2 linked regions of the Mus musculus genome follow. The protein of the gene in region 2 interacts with the protein of the main gene of each other region in a pairwise test. Links are inferred from orthologs where the notes say so. Each region holds a gene or a part of one and is shown on either strand. Other genes may lie near its edges.

Evidence for each region.
Region 1: the proteins of Ddx17 (region 2) and Wbp11 interact in a two-hybrid assay, tested with the Homo sapiens proteins (3 studies listed by BioGRID and IntAct). The link is inferred for Mus musculus from reciprocal best matches to the Homo sapiens genes DDX17 and WBP11.

What each region holds. Positions count from the first base shown.
Region 1 is NC_000072.6:136,811,923-136,821,314, forward strand, and holds the end of Wbp11 (WW domain-binding protein 11), read right to left. Parts: coding exon 9,255-9,392; intron 8,777-9,254; coding exon 8,585-8,776; intron 6,110-8,584; coding exon 6,008-6,109; intron 5,316-6,007; coding exon 5,022-5,315; intron 4,312-5,021; coding exon 4,129-4,311; intron 2,720-4,128; coding exon 2,286-2,719; 3' UTR 1,732-2,285; downstream 1-1,731. UniProt on the Homo sapiens protein: Activates pre-mRNA splicing. May inhibit PP1 phosphatase activity.
Region 2 is NC_000081.6:79,525,643-79,536,003, reverse strand, and holds the end of Ddx17 (probable ATP-dependent RNA helicase DDX17), read left to right. Parts: coding exon 1-47; coding exon of another isoform or gene 48-61; exon of another isoform or gene 62-3,029; intron 3,030-3,086; exon of another isoform or gene 3,087-4,025; coding exon of another isoform or gene 4,026-4,089; coding exon 4,090-4,326; coding exon of another isoform or gene 4,327-4,332; intron 4,333-5,486; coding exon 5,487-5,992; 3' UTR 5,993-8,308; downstream 8,309-10,361. Other genes in the region: Kdelr3 (ER lumen protein-retaining receptor 3), read right to left, coding at 8,892-8,932, 10,085-10,337. UniProt on the Homo sapiens protein: As an RNA helicase, unwinds RNA and alters RNA structures through ATP binding and hydrolysis.

The sequences.
Region 1 (9,392 bases), on a different chromosome or scaffold from region 2:
TTTTCTGTGACTTGCAGGGAGGCAGGAAGGGTTAAGGGAAGTTGAGGGGGCTGACAAGACTCAGAAGGCCCTGTATAGGACTGGGGGAGATGGGGAGGCTTGGTGAGGTGGCCTTCACCTATACTGGTTTACCAACTTGACAACCTAGTGTCAAGGAAGTGTCTGGGAAGACGAATCCCAATTTAAAAAATGCCTCCATCGGATTAGCCTGCAGGGGCATTATCTCGATTAATGGTTGATGTGGAAGGGCAGGCCCAATCCACTGTGGATAGTGATGCTCCTTACTAGATCCTGGGAGGTCTATGGAGGGTAGCCGAAGGCCAGTAAGCAGCACCCCTCCATGGCTTCCGTTCCTATCTTCCCTTCAGGATGGACTTTGAGCTGCAGGACAAATCAACCCTTTCTTCTGCAAGTTGTTTTTGGCCTTGGTGTTTACCTCAGCAGTAGAGAGCCAACTAGGGTATCTCTCACCATGCTCTTAAGTAACGTCAACAATTCACAATTCATTGGCTCACCAAGATGGAAGTGGAGGGATCCTTTCTTTGGTCTGCTGTTTCTGGGCTGAATAGAATTTGCATCTCCAGGTAAAGTCAATGGGTTTTGAGGAGAGTCTGGTAATGCAAATGAGGACACTAAGTTTCCCATGTAGAAAGGTGAGCTGAATGTGAGCCTGTGAACCTGTGAGCCCTCTCTAATCCACATCCAAGCAAAGGTATGTAGTGGTCATGTAAGAAACCAAATCAGATTTGGTGGCCTTCCTCCTTTCCTACAGATGGAATTAATAGATTCAGTGTTAGGCTTTATGAATACAATTTTCAAATAAAACTAGCAGCACACTTGGAAATGTTTTGATAATCAAAAGCTTTTTCAGAGAACCAGTGACAGAAATCTCCCTCCAAAAGAACGTAACTCTTCAGTCAAGAATACTAAAAAAGAATCAACTCCGACCAAACTGGAGAGCAATTGTTTATGCAGAAATTACCATGCCAGCTGGATGATGTAATTGTTTCTTTTGTATGAAAAATGATCAAATTCATTGGACTTTACTTAATTACACTAAAACCCCAAACCAAATGGACAATTTTGTGTTTTGTAAGGATGACTTAATCTGTCAGAGTAACAGAAGCAGACATACAAAATCTCAAGGAGAACCTGAAATGCATGAGGACTAGGAAAGCATTAGCCTCAGCATCTTTCAACACATCTTTAATGCTCTAGGATTTGCATGAGATGCAGGCCAGCTAAGGTGTGCCTTGCATAACACAATGCACATGACTGTAGGAAATGCACGGCAGCAGGCACAGACCAGAACTGGAGAAGGAGTCTTTCCAACTCTCAAGGCCTGCCTCCAGGATGTACTTCTTCCAACAAAGCCAGGCTCTCAAGCTTCCCCAACAGTGCCACCAACTGGGGAAAACCACGTCCACGTATATGAGCCTTGGGAACTTTCACACACCACCACCCCCACAGCTCTGTGTCCTCTGGAGTCCCCCATCCTAGCAGTCAAAGTGGAGACATTGTGCACCCCTCTGACGTTCTGGGAAGTCAATATAATCTTGAAGGAATTCTTCCTCTTTATCCCTGTAGATTTCAAAGTTACCTTTTACATTCTAATAAAATCCATTCTCATTCTGCATGAGAAATGGCAGTTCCTGAGAACCAAACTACAAACTTGTTTGTTTCTGCCCACCAGCCAGATGAACTGTTTACACATTACACAAACACAGAAGGTATCTTGGTATGGAACATTTTATTTGTCCATGAAACACTCAAAAGAGTTTAGCTTGTGGGAAGTAACTTTAATCCCAGAATTGTATATTTTCTTCCCACATATCCTGTTTTGAATTAGGAAATGATACTGTAATCCATTTCACTACAAGGAAAATATTACAAAATATTTACAGGAAAATATTAAAAATAACTCAAACACAAAAGTCAAGATGAAATAAACTTTTTTCCTCCAGAATTCTCTACTCTAGTGCCCACGGCACATGAGTCAAAAACAAGTAACTAAGACCTCGCTGACAGAATTCCCAAAATGGAGAGAGGAAGAGAGGGAGGAGATGGTGATGTCACAGGGAGCAGGGGTTAGCAGCAGTGCTTCACATCCTGGTCTATTGTAAAGAAACACCTTGTGCAGGGATCCCAGCAGGCAAACATGAGGAGGCTCCTGGAACTGGACTTGGAAAACACCTGACAGTGGACATTGCTCTTCACTGTAATAAGAGCCTCTTGTTCCACAAACCAGTACTCTGAACAGAAGCCTGTCCTGGCAGGAGGCCCTGTCACAGCAGCCCTTCCATCTCTTTCATAAAGGCTTCATAAACATCGTCCTTAGTTTGTACTGAGACAGCAACTGAAGGACCAGATCTCGGGGCTGCTTTGGCAACAGGCACAGCAGAGTCATCCTCTGACCTTCTTTGGGGAACAGCAGTAGCCCCCTTATTCTCTCGGCGTACCCTCAGTGCAGTGGGCACAAACCGTGTGACCTCTGCCTTGGGATTGGTGATCTGGGGCTTGGCACTGATGGTCGCTGTGGCTTTCTTCTCGATGGTGGCGGCACTTGCATCATCCGCCTTCGGTCGCTGAATGAGGCTGGGTGGGGCACTCAACACCCCTGGGTTGGGCAAGGGAGCTGGTGGGAAAAGGCCAGGCGGGGCAGGTCCAAGAGGAGGAACCAAGGGTGGGCGCATCATGCCAGGACGAGGAGGAGGGATACCTAAAGGAAGAGGAGAGAGGATGAGTACAAGAATTGGCGACATTTAACTGCCACTAAGGATGTTTAGACATGGGCTACAGGGATGGCTCAGTGGTTAAGAGCACTGGCTGCTCTTCTGAAGGTTGATTCCCAGCAACCACGTGGTGACTCGCAACCATCTGTAATGGGACCTCTTCTGCTGTGTCAAGACAGTGACAGTGTACTCACATATACATAAAATAAATAAACAAATCTTTTAAAAAAAGGAAGTTTAGGGGGCTGGTGAGATGGCTCAGTGGGTAAGAGCACCCGACTGCTCTTCCGAAGGTCAGGAGTTCAAATCCTAGTAACCACATGGTGGCTCACAACCATCCGTAATGAGATCTGACTCCCTCTTCTGGAGGGTCTGAGGACAGACATCTACAGTGTACTTACAATAAATAAATAAATAAATAAATAAATAAATAAATAAATAAATAAATAAATAAATAAATAAATAAATCTTTAAAAAAAAAAAGGAAGTTTAGACATAGGCTAAGACTGCTTTTTAGGCAAGTTATTTACAGGAATTAAATTGAACTCACACAACCTGCTATGTGAAAGGCAGAAATATATTCTGATAGAAAGAAACATAATACTTTGAAGTTACATCTGCCTTTAGTCTTGATCCCTGAACTCAGGTCCCAGTTGAAAACTGTACCATCAAGCTGACAATGCCAACTGGTGGCAGATGCAGTTTCCAATCTGGAAGGTCCAGGATGCTATCCTATCCTGTCCTGGCTGTCTGGTGTGAAGTTATTAAGATCAAGGGGCAGTCGATTCCTGAGTACTAGTTAGTTTCTACCACGTTCACACAGGGGACAGGGAAGGATTCTGTCCTGCTCAGTCACTGGAAATGGGCAGACTATGGTCAGTCTTTTCAGGGTTACGTAATTCTGACAGCTGCAACTCATACATATCCCGCATCAGATTGTGGTTTCTTCAAATGCCACGTAAGAATCAAACCTGCATCCAGTCAGAACTGATTACGTAAACTCAGTTTTCCTACACAAAACCAAGACAAAGACAAAGCCCCAGCTGTTGTGTTTTAAAAGCAATCTTCGGACACAGTAGAACATTCAGTGTGCTTAGCCAAAAAATCCCATTATGACATTTGCAGGACTAACTCGGACAATGGGTAGAGAGGAGGGAGGCTCTCTTGTGATCTAACTTGAAGATGGTAATTGTGTAGAGCATGGGGCGCAGCTGTGCCTGTTCTCACACAGCTCAGACAGAGAACCTGCTCACTGTTGCCAGCCTCAAGGGATGAGTGGAAAGCAACGGAAAGGCTCGTGCAGAACACACTTTCCTGCAGACCCTCTGCTAGATGTCCTCAGAGACCCACCGAGCGTACAGCCATGCCTAGCTCTTGTCACACTGAAAAACTTTACCTGGAGGTGCAGGAGGAGGTAGCCTTGGTGGGGGTCCCCGAGGAGGGGGTCCAGGGGGCAGACCTGGAGGTGGGCCTGGGGGAGGGCCAGGAGGTCGGCCTGGTGGTGGTCCTGGAGGTAAAAGTCGTGGTAAAGGCCCTCGGATTCCTGGCATTCCAGGTGGTCTCAGGAATGGAGGAGCCCCTGAAAGAAGAAAACCAATGTCAGTCAGATAAATATTTGTGGTATAAAAGCGACTCACATAATCATTTTATTCAGAAGTGAGATGGCATTTAAATAAAAAGCAATGGAAATAAAACTCATTCAACATATATTTGAGCTCTATAAAAAGGCCATCAGGTCCGTTATAGTTCGGTCCATCTGGTCCTTCTAGGTCCCAGCTGTGGTACGTGAGACTGTATTAAGCAACACCAATGCAGGGCTGGGCTAGTCTGTCACAATAAAGTACTAAACAAAGTACAACTATGCACAAGTGTCCAGCTTACAAAACCAGAAATAAGAGATCCTTAAGAAGAGGCGACTGTAAGAACTCCGAGCTGCTAACGATGCTCACAGACTGGAAGGGTCTTCCTTCCCTTGGAAGCCTCAACCGAAAGCCTCAGTGCTGACTGACGACACACATTGTTCTGAAGGATCCCTCACCCCGGCTCAGAGCACGCGCTCCTCGCCCCCCTCACCCCGGCTCAGAGCACGCGCTCCTCGCCCCCCTCACCCTGGCTCAGAGCTCGCGCTCCTCGCCCCCCTCACTCCGGCTCAGAGCACGCGCTCCTCGCCCCCCTCACCCTGGCTCAGAGCACGCGCTCCTCGCCCCCCTCACCCCGGCTCAGAGCACGCGCTCCTCGCCCCCCTCACTCCGGCTCAGAGCTCGCGCTCCTCGCCCTGGGGGTGCTTACCTGGAGGCGGCCCAGGAGGAAGGCCTGTAGGTGGTCCAGGAGGCCGTAAGGGTGGGGCAGGTGGTGGTCCAAGAGGTGGTGGTCCTGGCATGGGAGGGGCTTGTATCTGAGAAGCAGGAGCAGACTGTGGAGGAGCCTGCTGCTGGGAAGAGGCTGCAGCCGTGCTGTCAGAGTGGCCATCGTCTTTATGCTGCTTCTGCGACTGCTTCTCGGCTTCAGAATCATCCGAGTCGTCGGCATCCTCCTCCTCTGAAAATTCCTCCACTTCCCGTCCTTCCTCAGGGATTTCCTGACCTGAAAAATGGAAAAATAGCTGATTTCTGTTTTACCGCTTGGAGAACAGCAGTGGCCAAGAGTACACCACAGCTGGGTGTGGTGGCACATGCCTTTAATCCAGCACTTGGGACAAGTGCAAGATGACCTGACTTCACAGTCGGCTTAGTCTACATAGTAAGTTCCAGGACAGCAGGGTTACACAGGTAGACCCTGTCTCCCAAAACCAAATAAATAAATAAGTAAATAAAAATAAGAAAATTTATTCTTAAAAAATCAACAATCCAAGTCTTTTTACCGACTATTGAAATACACAACGGTGCATCTTTAACTAGTACAGCAGTATAAATCCCAGGCTGTCAGACAAGACAGACTTGGAATTAAATAGCACTCAGGGCTGCAAGAGGGCTTGCTAATGAGCCTGACAACCAGAGCTCAATTCCTGAGACCCAGCAGCAGCCACAGAAAAGCTGACTCCCACAGGCTCCATATGCCAGCTCAAGAGCAGATGCTGCACAGCCTCCCAGAACGAGTTGTCTCAGCGGCTCACTAGCCCCAAAACTCTGGGCACCCCACCAAATGGCTCCATATCTTAAGTTTCACAGAATACAGATTCCTGGCTTATTTCAGAGCTGCTGACTATAAATGGAAGACTATATGCTAAGCAAGTGGCACAAGGAAATGCTAGAGATCCATTCCTTCTTGCTTCTAACCTGCCATTCGCAGCATCATGGCTTGAAGAGGAGTCAGCTCCTTCATGTTTTTCTTCTTCTTCCTTGATTTCCCAGGCATATCAGCAAATCTGACGCTTAGACCTAAACAGTCAAGAAAGGATGAAACGGGAAAGAATCATCAAATGTTGTAAAAATGGTCACCATAGAGCAGACGCTGTAAGTACTATGAATGACTGTAACCCATTACACGATACAAGGCAGATGTACAGGGACATTACAGGAAATCAGCGTTGTGCTAATTGGTTGCTTATGAAATATACTGCATTAACTTAAAACTTAATGTTCAGAAAATGTTAGGATACTTAAGAAGTATATAAACTGAATTAGATAATTCAATTTTAAGCCCTAAACATAAAAGCTGAAACGGTAAAGATGTATCTTAAAGCAACAATTTTCTTTAGCAATTCAGCAAAACAGTAAGTCACAGAAAAGATGAAAGCTGACCAACTCAGGAAACCAGCATACCCTATTAACCAACATAAAATATAACACAACTGAGTCTGACAGTGCTGGGTAAGGAAAATCGATCATAGCATGCAGGGTGCACCAAAAGTACCCAATGGTTTACACTAGAAAATTAGTAATCTAATCATGACAAAAGGCCCCATAAAAGGTGGGAAAATCTTAGTAATACTCTAACAGGTGATTAAAGATTATGATCGGTCCCCAACACCACTTCCACTACAGAATCTTTCAGTAACCCTGACAGATACTGCACTTCTGATCTGGTGTCTGACATCTTAGCCAACACTTAAGGAAGGGAATATTTATTTCTATGTGGGTTCAGCTTTAGTGTATCTTGGACTTTTACTGCCCAGAAAAATGCCTGGCTATGGTAAAGGCAGTAGCAGATGAGAGGACGTGCAGCTGGGCCAGCCATCTGAGGTCCACACACACTGGGGAACACAACGTTCAGTAGGAAGCAGCAGGTGGACTTCAGTCAGTTCAAGGCCAGTCAGTAAGTCCTGTGCTAGCCAAGGCTACACAGAAGACCCTGTCCCAGCGCCACCCCCCAGGACCTCAGCAGCAGCTGGCAGCCGCAGAGTAGAGAGAGGATGCAGTCTTACAGGGGAGTCCTGCACTTGGAGTTCTACCCCACTCTCCTTTCTAAGACCAGTTCCAACTTATGAGTCTTCTATAATTTTCCAAGATCAGGCTTGCTCCTACACCAATTTATGATAGTTTTTTGATAAGCTTTTCTTTCATTCGTAATCATGATTAAGGAGCACTAATGCATTCCAGAGGGCTCTGGACAACCCAGCTCTGAGGGATCTAGTGCCGTGTAGTCTCCAAGGCACACGCAAGTGTAGGAGGCACACAGACACACACAATTAAAAAAAAAAGAGAGTCACTTGCTGATCTTATAAATAAAACCACAGTATACAGATGCCGTCCTGGAGACTACAGCTACAGCCCCTAAGAAGCTCCCCGGCTACTAGGCTCTGACACACTCAGTGTGTGCTTGGCACTGCTTAGTACCCAAACACAGTGCTTAAAATTTTTGTGACAAAACGTAACATACAGTGTGCACACAATTGAGGACACAGCAGAACTGAATATATTTAATATACATCAAGTCTTAGGCTTACTCCCCAGCACTACACACACACACACACACACACACACACACATCTTTCTGAACGGTGCTTCACAGCTGACCCTTGGAGAACGGTTTGTTTACATGCAGGCCAAGTGCGCTACACAGGTGCTTTCCCAACCAGTGACCAGCTTTGAAGGAACAGGCGTATGGTTCTAAATACAAATACAGTGCAGACATATAGAAAAATACACTTTTATACATATACATAGTATATAATTATACATGTTAATGTAATGTGTGTATAGACACATATATGTATATAAAATATTTAATATATAATATACACACACATATATTATATATAAAATTACAAGTATATATGAATTACAAAGGTCACCCAGTTTATGAAAGGCCCCATGAAGAACAGAAAACCCAGCTCCCAGTGTAGACACGCACACAAGCTTATTTAAAACCATGCATGTTCTTCCTTTCCTACTGCACGTTCATCATAGAGTATATTAGCAATTTTTGCCTCAAAGTGGAATTTCTTGCATAACTTTTAAAAAACTACATATACTTACTCTTTCCTCACAAACACCTGTAAGAATAATATGTCAAAACCTTTCAAACTATCAAGACAAATAAATGGCCAGGTACGGTGGCTTATATTTATTTCTAACTCCACAACTTGGGAGGCTGAAGCAGGAGGGTCACCATGAGCTCGAGGCCAGCCTAATTAACAGTGATAGACACCCGTCTCAAAACCAAGCCAAACCAAACTGGAGCTAAAAGCTGGTCCTGAACTGGTGAGCTGGCTCACCAAACCTAATCACCCAAGCTGCATCCCCACCCCCTGTGCAGTGGATCGGGAAAACCAACTGGGACTGCCACATAGATGCTCTAGCACGCATGTACACTCGGGCGCGCACACACTGAACCTAATTAACAAAAGCCAGGGCTTTCAGCACCGGGGTCAGCGGTGTTCATCTACGCCCGGCACATTAACCCGCACACACCTGACTTCTTCTCCTCAGTGTTGTCGCGCTCACTGTCCTCGCGGTGCCCGAACTCATCCCCGTCACTCTCTGCATCTGACCTGTCAGTGTCACTGTCCTCAGTACTGTCATCATGCTTATCCTGATCCATGTCCTCAGGATAGCCGTCGTCTTCACTGGTGCTGGACATGTCATCGTCATGACCCCGCTGAGCTGATGACAGAAAGAGCACGAGAGTCACATGACACGGTTGGCCCTCTGGTATCCAAAAATAGGCATGCCATTTTGGCTCAACATTACTTGCAAAACATTTCTATATGCAATGCCAGCTACCATGTATTATGATGACATTTGCGTTGGGTAATAGTTTTAAATACTTTTTTGTTTTCTTGTAAGAAGTGCAAACACACTGTATTAGAAACAATTGTGTAAAGTCTCACACACAGTCAGTGACTCTTGTCAGCGCTGATGAAACTGAGAAGACCTCTTCCTGTCTTATGGGAACTGCAGCAACATTCTATCTAAGGTGCTTTCATCAGGCAGATGTGCTAAATTATCCACAGGGACACACAGCAGAAGAGCACAGCATCCTCATGGCGTTCCTGTGTTCTCCGTGTAGCAAACGTTAACTATGGTCAGCATGGAAGCAATACTGAGAAGGGCACGGGAGGAAACCCCTGCCCCTGCCTACCAAGCTCTGGACTATACAGCATGTCCTCATCTCGCCTCCGAGGGGGAAGATCTAGAGCGAAGCCCACTTTCCGGCCGTACATCTGCAGAACCTGAGGAGGAGGGGGGCCAGGTGGAGGGCCGGGCGGTTTTCTGCCAG
Region 2 (10,361 bases):
AAAGGCTCCTATCCTCATTGCCACGGATGTAGCCTCCCGTGGGCTAGGTTTGTATAGATAGGTGTCTCTATCAGTGCTTTGTTTATCTTTTGGTTTAAAAAATTTTTTTTGTCATGTCAGATTTGCAATTGTATGTACATGAGTCTAGTTAAAAGAGGGTATAAGTGTGATTTTTTTTTTTTCCCTCCCTGCAACTTTCTTTTAACCTTCATGGGGGTTTTATTATTATTTTGGGTTTTCTGTGGTTCCCACCCCGTTTATTTTCAAAGTTCCGTCTGGCTCCTAGCAGTCTTTGGTCTGTAACAAGGCTTAGACATGACTATTAAATTACAGTTTTATGGCTGGATAGAAGGAGCCTAATTAGACCTAGCCATCAGAAGCTGGTTTCTTTAGTTTTCCCTTATACTAGTCTGTTTACTATAGAAACAGGGAGACCACTTCATGAACATTCACTCAGGGGTTTTGATTGCTCTCTATATAATGTCATTCTATTCAGTCTGCATTGCCCAGTATTACTTCAGTAATATGATTGTCAGTTATCCCTCCCTTTACCCGTTGTTTGGCCTTAGACATGTTTTCCGGTTTAGAACTTGATCTGAAGATAATCTGAAGTTTTCAACTCCTGCTTTAAAATACATACAGATAGCCAGCCTATGACACGCTGACCCAGAATGTTTACATGTATAAGGATTATCTGGGTGTGGTAATACACACCTTTGATCCCCACACTTGGGAGACAGAGGCATGGTTTCCTTAGTTTGAGGCAAACCTGGTATGCATAGTGAGTTGTAGACCAGCCAGGGCTACACTGCTAGGCTCTGTCTCCAGAAAAAGATTTCTTACAGCTAGGCATGGTAGTATATGCCTGTAAATTCCAGCACTTGGAAACCTTAGGCAAGAGATTCATTTGTTTGAGGGCAACCTACGTTAAATAGCAGGGTCTTGTTTTAGAGAGCTGGGGTGATTTCTGTTGGGAGGGAACCATTATTGATGTGTTTAATTTCCTGCTGAGTAAGGTGAGAAGTACCAAGTTTCCCTGTGCAATTTAACATAGAGATGATAAGTATTGAAATGAGTTCAGCAGTGATGGAGCCTTTTTATCCATTCAATTTTACTCCTCCTTGAGGTAGTGAGTGACCTGCAGCCATGGTGGGAAGTTGTCTCTTCCTTCCGAGGTCATCTCTGGGTCTGTGCCCTTAGAACCGGGGCCTGGGAGAGGAGGCAGAAGCCTGAAAGCAATTTACATAAAAAGCTTTCAGTAATGGTGGTTTTTAAAACAGGCTTGCTATGTGCTGGTAGCTTCTTTGTGCATCTTGCCTAGACAATTAAAAATTTGTTCTGTCCTTTTGCATATTTTAAAATCAATTGGCTACCATTAGAATAACTTAGACTCTTCATCCCACCCTCCCTCATTCAAGTGAGGGAGAGGGAAGGTGCCTGAGTCTGTTTCTTGTTACTCAACATCAGTGCTTGTTTTGGGCCCCTTTGTTTGCTGCCTTGTAAAAATCAAAAGGAGGGAGAAAACCCACCACAAATGGCAGAATTCTGACCAAGGTCCTCCAAGATCCTGGAAAGTGAAGGCTTCTACCTCAGACAGGGGTGCTATTTTCAGCTGAGTCACCAGGCCTTTTTTCACTTCTGTGGAGCGATGGTCTCTTAAATGATCCCTTCAGGTAAGTTCTTTGACTCCCATAGTTCCTAATAGTCATCTTGAGGTGACCACTGTTCCCTTTCCACTGGGATATTTTTTATTTTGCTTTTTTCTTTTTTTTCTTTTTCTTTTTTTTTCTTTTTTTGTTTAAACTACACACTGTTGAACTAAAAGTATTGAATTTATTTCATTTTGTTTTTTAACAGAAGCTTTGATATCAACTGCAGATCACTCAGTACATGGCTGAGGCAAATCTCCATTGGCCCGAAGCCACTCTAGATGAGCCTGCTGACTCTCCCAGTTAGTGAGTGGAGTTTCAGGCCATGGCATAGGGCTTTCCAAACCACATGTTCTCCCAGGCCAGGGGCCAAACATATAACTTTGCATTTCTTACCCTGCTACAGCATCGTCTATAAAGACAGCAAGATAATATTGTGGCAGTGCACCAGTAACCTCAGGGCAGCCTGGGCTGGAGAAACCCGATTCTAGGCTTGCTCTTAGGTGGCCTTCAGTCAGCTGTGCACACACAGGACACCCTTCTAGCATGAAGAACTTTTGCACCGTGTCCACCCCTTATCGAGCCCCTCCAGAAGTACTCCCAGCTGTTAGCCTCTGAAGCCCCAGTGCTTGCTGCTTGGAAAGCACGCTTCCGTGCATCCAGTGCAGTAACTCAGCGTGCTCTGTGTCCATGGCCACTCAGTGCGAGTGACTGCGGAGCATTAGTGAAGCTTGAAGAAGTGCTCATGGAGTTAACCCCCGCCCCGCCCCGCCTCACCCTTCCATCCTTGCCCCGTTATATTTTTTTCTTGTGGCATCAACGACCCAAGCCGGAGACTCAAGCTGCCCCCTGTGATAAGTGCCTTCTCGTCTTTCTGGTGTGATTCAGGACTTTAGGGGTCAGTAAAGACTGAGGAGCCTTTATCGTAATAAGAAACAGACATAATGCCCCTACTTCACATGCCCCTAACAACAGCTGAATTTTTTTAAAAATCATCTCCCCCTTACCCCTGAAATTAATCCAGTCTGGGCAATAGATGCAGTCTGACCCTTTGGATGTAACTTTTTTTTTTTTAATTTTTCTACAATCACCCCAATTACCTTGGGGAGGCGTTGGAGGACCTGAAATTTTTACCTGAACCCAGGTTCTCCGGCGCTTGGCAACCAAATGGGGCTACAGAGAAGCATCTAAGCCAGTTCACAGAGCGAGCGTGTGTGGGGACTTCTCACTGCCACGGACCCTTGATGCATGCTCCCCGCGCTCCAGTGGTCCCGTGTCAGAAGGCGGAGTTTTCGAAAGGAGGCCGCCAAATATAAAAGGCAAAGAGACGGGATCGGCTGCAGCGGTTTCCCAAAGGAGGAGGGAGTGTGCATCGGTCTGGTAACAAACAGAGAATGTTTTTTAATTATTTCTATCACAGAAATCTGTGTTTTATCTAGGATATTTTCGGAATATTCTTTGTAAAATGCAGATTTTTTTCCACCAAAAATTAGGATTCTGTTACTAAATTTGCTTGTTAAGTAGGTTAAAAAAAAAAACTACATTTAGCTGAAAGCATTACACTAACATTTGCATACTTGTAAGTTTTAGGGGTTACTCAGCCCAACTCCTAGCCATGTACAGAATATTATATGTGTGTCTCAAGGTTTCATGGTTTTCCCCACAGTCTTTGGCTATTGAATCTTCAGGTCACATAGACAATCTGATTGTTGATACAAGTACTAAGTTTCCAATAACCTTGAGTTGAGTGGAAAAAAACCTCATTTGAGAAGCTGGGCTTGGCAGTAGAGTGAAATTTTAGTGTAATGTGTTCTTGTGATTGAAAAGGGAAAGGTAATCTGGGTGTTTACACAAAGCAAAATAGGTGTGTATTTTGGCTTTGGTTTGCTTTTTAAATACAAGAGCAAGACAGAATCTAACTGTTGAGTCTGAGGATGTAGTGAGTAGATGAAGTGCCTTTCCGTGCTGCTCTGTGACTGGTCTGAAGGTAAGTTGGTTGTATTGTTGGTAGACTGTGCCAGGCTTCTCCCAACAGAGTAAAAGTGATTTGGCCCTGCACTTTAATGGTGGTTACTAAGTTCTTCTACATTCTAGCTTCGAAAGGGGGTGGCACTAGATTTTGTCATTCTGAACTCTGGTCTCAGTGTAGCTCCTGTCAGCATATCATTACAGAAGAGGCAGGAGTTTGGGGTATTGGAGGGAGCTCCCATAGGGTAATCACAAACCAAGATGCAGGGCCTGCCTGTGTCCTGAGTGGCACTGATCCTCTTTTACTCTGTTGGGATGAGTCTTTTTTTTGTACCTACTCAGGGCAGTTACTAACTTCATCTTCTCCCCTCTTGCTGTCATCTGCATTCGTGCTCTCCACCTCTTGGCATGTCTTTACCTTCTCTTTCTCTGCCACATCAACCTACACAATGTCTCCTCATTGACGTGGAAGATGTGGAAGATGTCAAGTTTGTCATCAACTACGATTATCCAAACAGCTCAGAGGATTATGTTCACCGTATTGGCCGAACGGCCCGCAGCACCAACAAGGGCACTGCCTATACTTTCTTTACCCCGGGCAACCTGAAGCAGGCTAGAGAGCTGATCAAAGTATTGGAAGAGGCCAATCAAGCCATCAATCCAAAATTGATGCAGCTTGTGGACCACAGAGGTGGCGGCGGAGGAGGGGGTAAGGGTAAGTCCTGGAATTTTCCAGGTACTGCCAAGGACTTGTAACACTAATTGTGCCATTTTTTTCTGCTGGTTTTTCTTTGTTGGTGAGTTTTTAGTTTTCCTTTTTGTTTGTTTTGTTTGGATGACAAGGCTCTTGTTTGGAGTTGGAAAGAAATTTGTGGCTTTGAATAATCTCATTTTAAGTGAAAAAGTAAGTCTGGTCATTGTGTTACTGTTAGAACCCAGTGTTCTTGTAGTTGAGGATTTAAGACCCATTATTTATTTAAATTTGGGGTTACATGGTACATGTCCAAAATTAAACTAGTAGTACATGCCTGTGAATCTTTTAGTTTGGTTTTTATTCTTTAAGACAGGGTTTCTCTGTGTAGCCCTGGCTGTTCTGGAGCTCACTTTGTAGACCAGGCTGTTCTCAAACTCAGAAATCAACCTAACAAAGCTGTCGCTGTCCAGCCAAGCTTGGGTTTTGTTTTTTCAAGACAGGGTTTTTCTGTATAGCCCTGGCTGTCCTGGAACTCACTTTGTAGACCAGACTGGCCTCGAATTCAGAGATCCGCCCGCCTCTGTCTCCTGAGTGCTGAGATTAAAGGCACGCACCACCACCGCCTGGCGGGTTTGTTTCTTTTATTTATTTGCTTGTTTTATGTATATGAGTATCTACTTGCATGCCAGAAGAGGACATTGGATCCCATTACAGATGGTTGGGAATTGAACTCAGGCCCTCTAGAGTCAGTCAGCTCAGTCAGTGCTTTACTGAGCCATTTCTCCAGCCCCAAGCCTATGTTTCTTAACACATGGAGGTAAAGCTAGGTATGTTATCTTTTTGGGACAGCTTGAGCTTCATAGCTAGACCCTGTCTCTTAAAATTTTAACATAGATAGCTAAACTGTTTTTCCTTCTTGATACCTTTGGAGAATTTGGTAATTTTACCTCATTTCATAGCATAGTATTAACCGAGGCATACAGTTGATCTACAGCTGTGTGGTACACTCAGGTTAAGTTTGGTTTTGTTATCAAGAAGACTCTAAAAGGCACCAAGTTGAGTGAAGTATTAACTTAGAGACTAGCGTTACAGATGAAGAACATGTGTTGAGTATTTCTGTGCCCCTTTATGTTCAGTTTGTTGGGATCACATACTCGGCATTTTCTTCCCACTAGGAGGCCGCTCACGATACCGGACTACTTCTTCAGCCAACAATCCCAATCTGATGTATCAGGACGAGTGTGACCGGAGGCTTCGAGGGGTCAAGGATGGTGGCCGGAGAGATTCTACAAGCTACAGGGATCGTAGTGAAACCGATAGAGCCAGTTATGCTAATGGCAGTGGCTATGGAAGCCCAAATTCTGCCTTTGGGGCACAAGCAGGCCAATACACCTATGCTCAAGGCACCTATGGGGCAGCTGCCTATGGCACCAGTGGCTACACGGCGCAGGAGTATGCTGCTGGCACTTACGGGGCGAGCAGCACTGCCTCAGCAGGGAGGAGCTCTCAGAGCTCCAGCCAGCAGTTTAGTGGGATAGGCCGATCTGGGCAGCAGCCACAGCCACTGATGTCACAGCAGTTTGCACAGCCTCCAGGAGCTACCAATATGATAGGCTACATGGGGCAGACTGCTTACCAGTACCCTCCCCCTCCCCCTCCCCCTCCTCCATCTCGCAAATGAAACTGCATGGCAGGAGTGACTCGTGCAGATGAATTACACATCTAAAGGAACACTGTCTTTTACCCTTCTAGACCTTTTCATTTTTATTTTTTCTTTTCTCAACCATTACGGTTTATCTTTTTTTAATGCAGATAGTTAAAATTTCACTGCCAGGTTTCTTCTGCCCACCCAAAAGATCCAGTCTATAATTACAGATTTTGTAAGAAAAAATATATATACACATAACTGACTGGAAAGAATTAATTTCTTTCCCCCAGCTTAATGCATGTTGAGGATATTGAGCTATTTTTCATCTTAAAGGTATTAGGCACTTTTGTTGGAGCCTGTTTATCCATGGGAGGGTGGGTAGGGAAGGAGGGACTGCTCTGCAGGAAGTGGTATCTGTTCTTTAGACTGCTCTCCTTAGGGAGGAGCCAAGAGGGATTTCCATGCACACTGCCCATGGTGGGTTTAAGTTACTGAAGTTCGATTACTCAGGCCTGATGAATTTTTAAGACTGCTTTGTTGGTCATTTGGCTGATGGCTTCTTATGTGCATTCAACAGTTAAAAATTCCTAATCGATTCTGTCATCATGCCCCCTCCCCACTTGTTCCTGCAGTTATTAAATATTAACCAGGTTAGTGTTGAGTTAGAAATTACATTTCTGAGTTCAAGCGTTGTCTTTTTAAGTTTAAAAAACTATAAAGGGTTGTTTTTACTAGGTAGACTGGCATCTGGGTAGAGGCTGCCTGGGATTTTTATCCCCACATAACCAGGGGCCATCTGAAAGTCATTTTCTAGCCAGATCAGCCACTGAGCGGTAAGCATCAGCGCTCAGCAGAGCCTTCCGAGCAGCATTTAGAAAGCACCTTTGGGAATGATGGACTGCAAGGGAGTGGGCGGATCTTCCTCTTAAACAGTATTCTTAGAGTAGGATTGACCTCATGGGCTGCTCTGCCCACTTGGTCAGGCTCTCCTGAGCAGGACTGCTAAAGAGCTTGCCTCCTCAAAGCCTGGTCTCTGAGGTGCTTTCTAACAGCTGGAGGCACTTGTTCTGGGCTTTCCTTTGCCCTCAGTTTTTCACAGGTAGGTAGTAGCCATGGAGGGCTGAAGCCCAGGCTCTCCTTACTCTCTGGAGTGTGAAGGTAGGGGTGAGCTCGTCTCACCCCTTTATTAAATGCTCCTGGAACTTGGAAGAGCAGCAGATGAAGTTGGAAAGAAAATTCTGCTCTTATCACCTAAACAGGACAGGAGAGCAGATGCCCCAGCGCCTCTAGTAGATGGTAGTGGTGGGGCTAGTGTGTGGCTGTTACCTGGGCCGCTCAAATTCATTCCAGGGAGGAGGCTCCACTGCATTCTTTGGCTGTGCCCTGAGGGTGCCTGCTCCTTTGTACGGTAACAGTCAATTTTGAGGTTTCTTTCAGGAAGAGAAAGGGATGGTTTTGAGGGGCTCAGAAAATAGGATTCAGTGTGTAACATAACAGGTAGGTTGTCAGCATGCTTGGCATTCTTCTGTTTTCCTTACCGTTTTACAGACTATGAAGCTGAGGGGGGATGGTAGGCACAGATGTGTGGCAACCCTGCTCTGTGCTCTGAAACCAAAGTGTGTCCTGTCTTGTCTGTCTCTCACCCTGCCAAAAGCAAGTGTCTAATCACTGATGCTGACCAGCCTGTTACAGATACTTTCTACAACCAAATTCAGATTTATTTTTTATTAAGCATTATACCATGGGCTGTCCTGTGCTCCTGTCACTCTTCAAAAACACCCCTTCTATTACTGCCTCCGGGGATGAAGCAGTAGCTAGGTTGCTTAACCTCCCCTCTCCAGCAGAGGCATAATCCAGATAAGTAGCAGATGTCATATTTCATAAGCTCTTTTGGCCTGGGTACAGCAGAAAACTAGCAGTTTTCCTACTTGGCGCAAGTGACTTGTGCCTCCTTGTCTGTCCTTTGTCAGCACAGGTGCAGGCAAACCCTTCCAGCTGGGTTAATTGCCGTTTATGGTTTACTCACTTAGGGAAAGGGCTTAGGTGTTAGGCTGTGGGCTGCTTCTCCCTAACCATCCATTGTGCAGACTTCTCATCTAAAAAGGTTGGTGGCTTTTGCTTGGGATCAGTGCTCTGCTAACGCCCTTGCTGGTCTCTCCACACATTCCTGTCATTGAGACTTGAATTGTAGGTGTGATGTTATGCACAGGATGCTCAGAGCTATGTTACTACTATTCTTAGTTTGTAAATTGTCCTTTTGATACCATCTTGTTTTCTTTTGTAGGTATAAATAAATACTTGACAATAAAGGTGTGAATTTTTTATTACATTAAAACTTAAAAAGAGTTTAAGTGTACTCTTAATGTTTTCCTCCAAGCAGTGAAAACATTAAGCAGGGTGAGTGTATTAGGCATTCTATTTAGCACCTCAGGCTGGGAGGGGAAGGCTACATTGGTGGTTCTTAGCACAGAATGGATTTACACAGTGGCCATGGTGTCCATCTCAGCTAACAAGTGAGCTAAGCAGTCCTAAGCACTTGGCAGAGCTGGTTATTTGGACTGCTTACAGCTTGCAGGCCAGGTGGACATGTGGCTCGAGTTCAGCACGCTGACCTAGGGAGGTTCTCTGAATGGATCTTCCCAGCCCTGGGCATGAGTTGTATAGTCCTAAGGAAGCAAGGAGTTGAGCCACTCACGGAGGTATCTACTGCTTCTCTTCACTTGGCACTTGTAGGGCACCATCCTTGGGCAGATGGGCTAGGTATCCCATTCTATCCATGGTGGATTAGGGAGGTGCTGCCGTTTATCCCAAGATGGTGCTTTGCTCAAATTCACACCAGTCACTCTAACATGAAGTCCCAAGTCTTGGCTTGAAGTCATGAAGCAGTGATCCGGATGGTTTGCTTTAGCTGCCATAGGGGTGGCCCTTCTCTTCAAACTGGCACCGGGAGGCTTAATTTCTTTCCTTTAAGGACTAAGGAAAAAAAGATAAAATTTTACTATGTGTTGTACTTAAAGAAGAATTCCTGCCCCCCTCCCTCCACTTTAGCTGGCCTTGAACTGGAGATCGCCTGCCTTTGCCTCCCTTGTTACTTGTTGCGGGTCACCCGTGGGGTTTATGCTGTTTCCCCCCACTTTGGTTACTGGTGTTCTTACATCATTTTAGATGAGTATGTCTACTCCATTCCCATAGCCTGTGTCTATCCATCCCAACCCTGTTTTTAAACTGCCCTGATTAGTCTCTGCATGGTGGCTGCTGGGCATGGTGACACAATAACAAACCCCATAACCTAGATCCCTGGGGTTCTGTGTGAACTTAGTTTCCTTGCGTTTCAAGGTCTACTACTGCTAACAGCTGCTTCGGGGCTTTTGGAGATTGAGGTTTTCCCAACCAAGTTTGTCAGAAGTCCTCAGTTTTCCTGTCTGTGCACGTTGCTGATTGCTATTGGTCTGTGCCTCCCCAGATCCAAATAAGCTCCAGAGGGATGAACCTTGGCTCTGCCTCAGACCAGTTGGAGTAAGTCTGGCCCTCAGGGAGTGACACTGTTGGGAGGCCTTGGAGGACTCCTAGTGTTCAAAACTCCCGGACAAACACATGAAACGGCTTTCTCCTGGCAGGAGCACTCCTCCCTCTGGAATCAAAACTTGTAGGCCAATCGAAAACAGGAAGCAAACATTTTCCTAGTGGGTTACTAAATGGAACTACTCCCTTCTCCACCCCTTGATTCCTGGACCCATGGATCCTAGTTATAGGAGAAACTCTACCGTGTATCAGACACTGATTCAAAGCATATGTTGCCTTCAGTAGATACCTGCCCCAGCCTTCAACGCCTGGCTCTACACAGTGCTACATTTCCTCCAACAAGGGCATACCTATTCTATAAAGGACATGCCTAATAGTGTCACTACCTGTGGGCCAAACATTCAAACAGGTATGTTTACGGAGGCTAAACCTATTCAAACTTATACAAGTACCAGACATAAGAGTGCACAGTGACCAGCACTCAGGAGGCAGAGGCAGGCAGATTTCTGAGTTCCAGGACAGCCAGGGCTATACAGAGAAACCCTGTCTTGAAAGAAAGAGAGAGAAAGCAAGCAAGCACCGTGACACAGGACCAGTGCCTACCTTTGGTCACATACAAGTAGAAGAAGTCACAGTAAAAGATGGTTTGAACAACTCCAGACACTACTGAGATCTGGTCATAGAAGTTCTCTGTCTGGTACCGCCTGATCCAGTTGGCCAGATAGAGGAGCCGATAGAGCCCCAGGAAGAACAGGTAGTGAGTGGTGATGGTCTCAGCCTCTCCGGTCTTGCTGATCATGAAGAGCTGTGGCAGGATAGCCACTGACTCCAGATAGATGGAGAAGGTCCAGAGGACCTGTCAGAACAACAATAGAAAGGC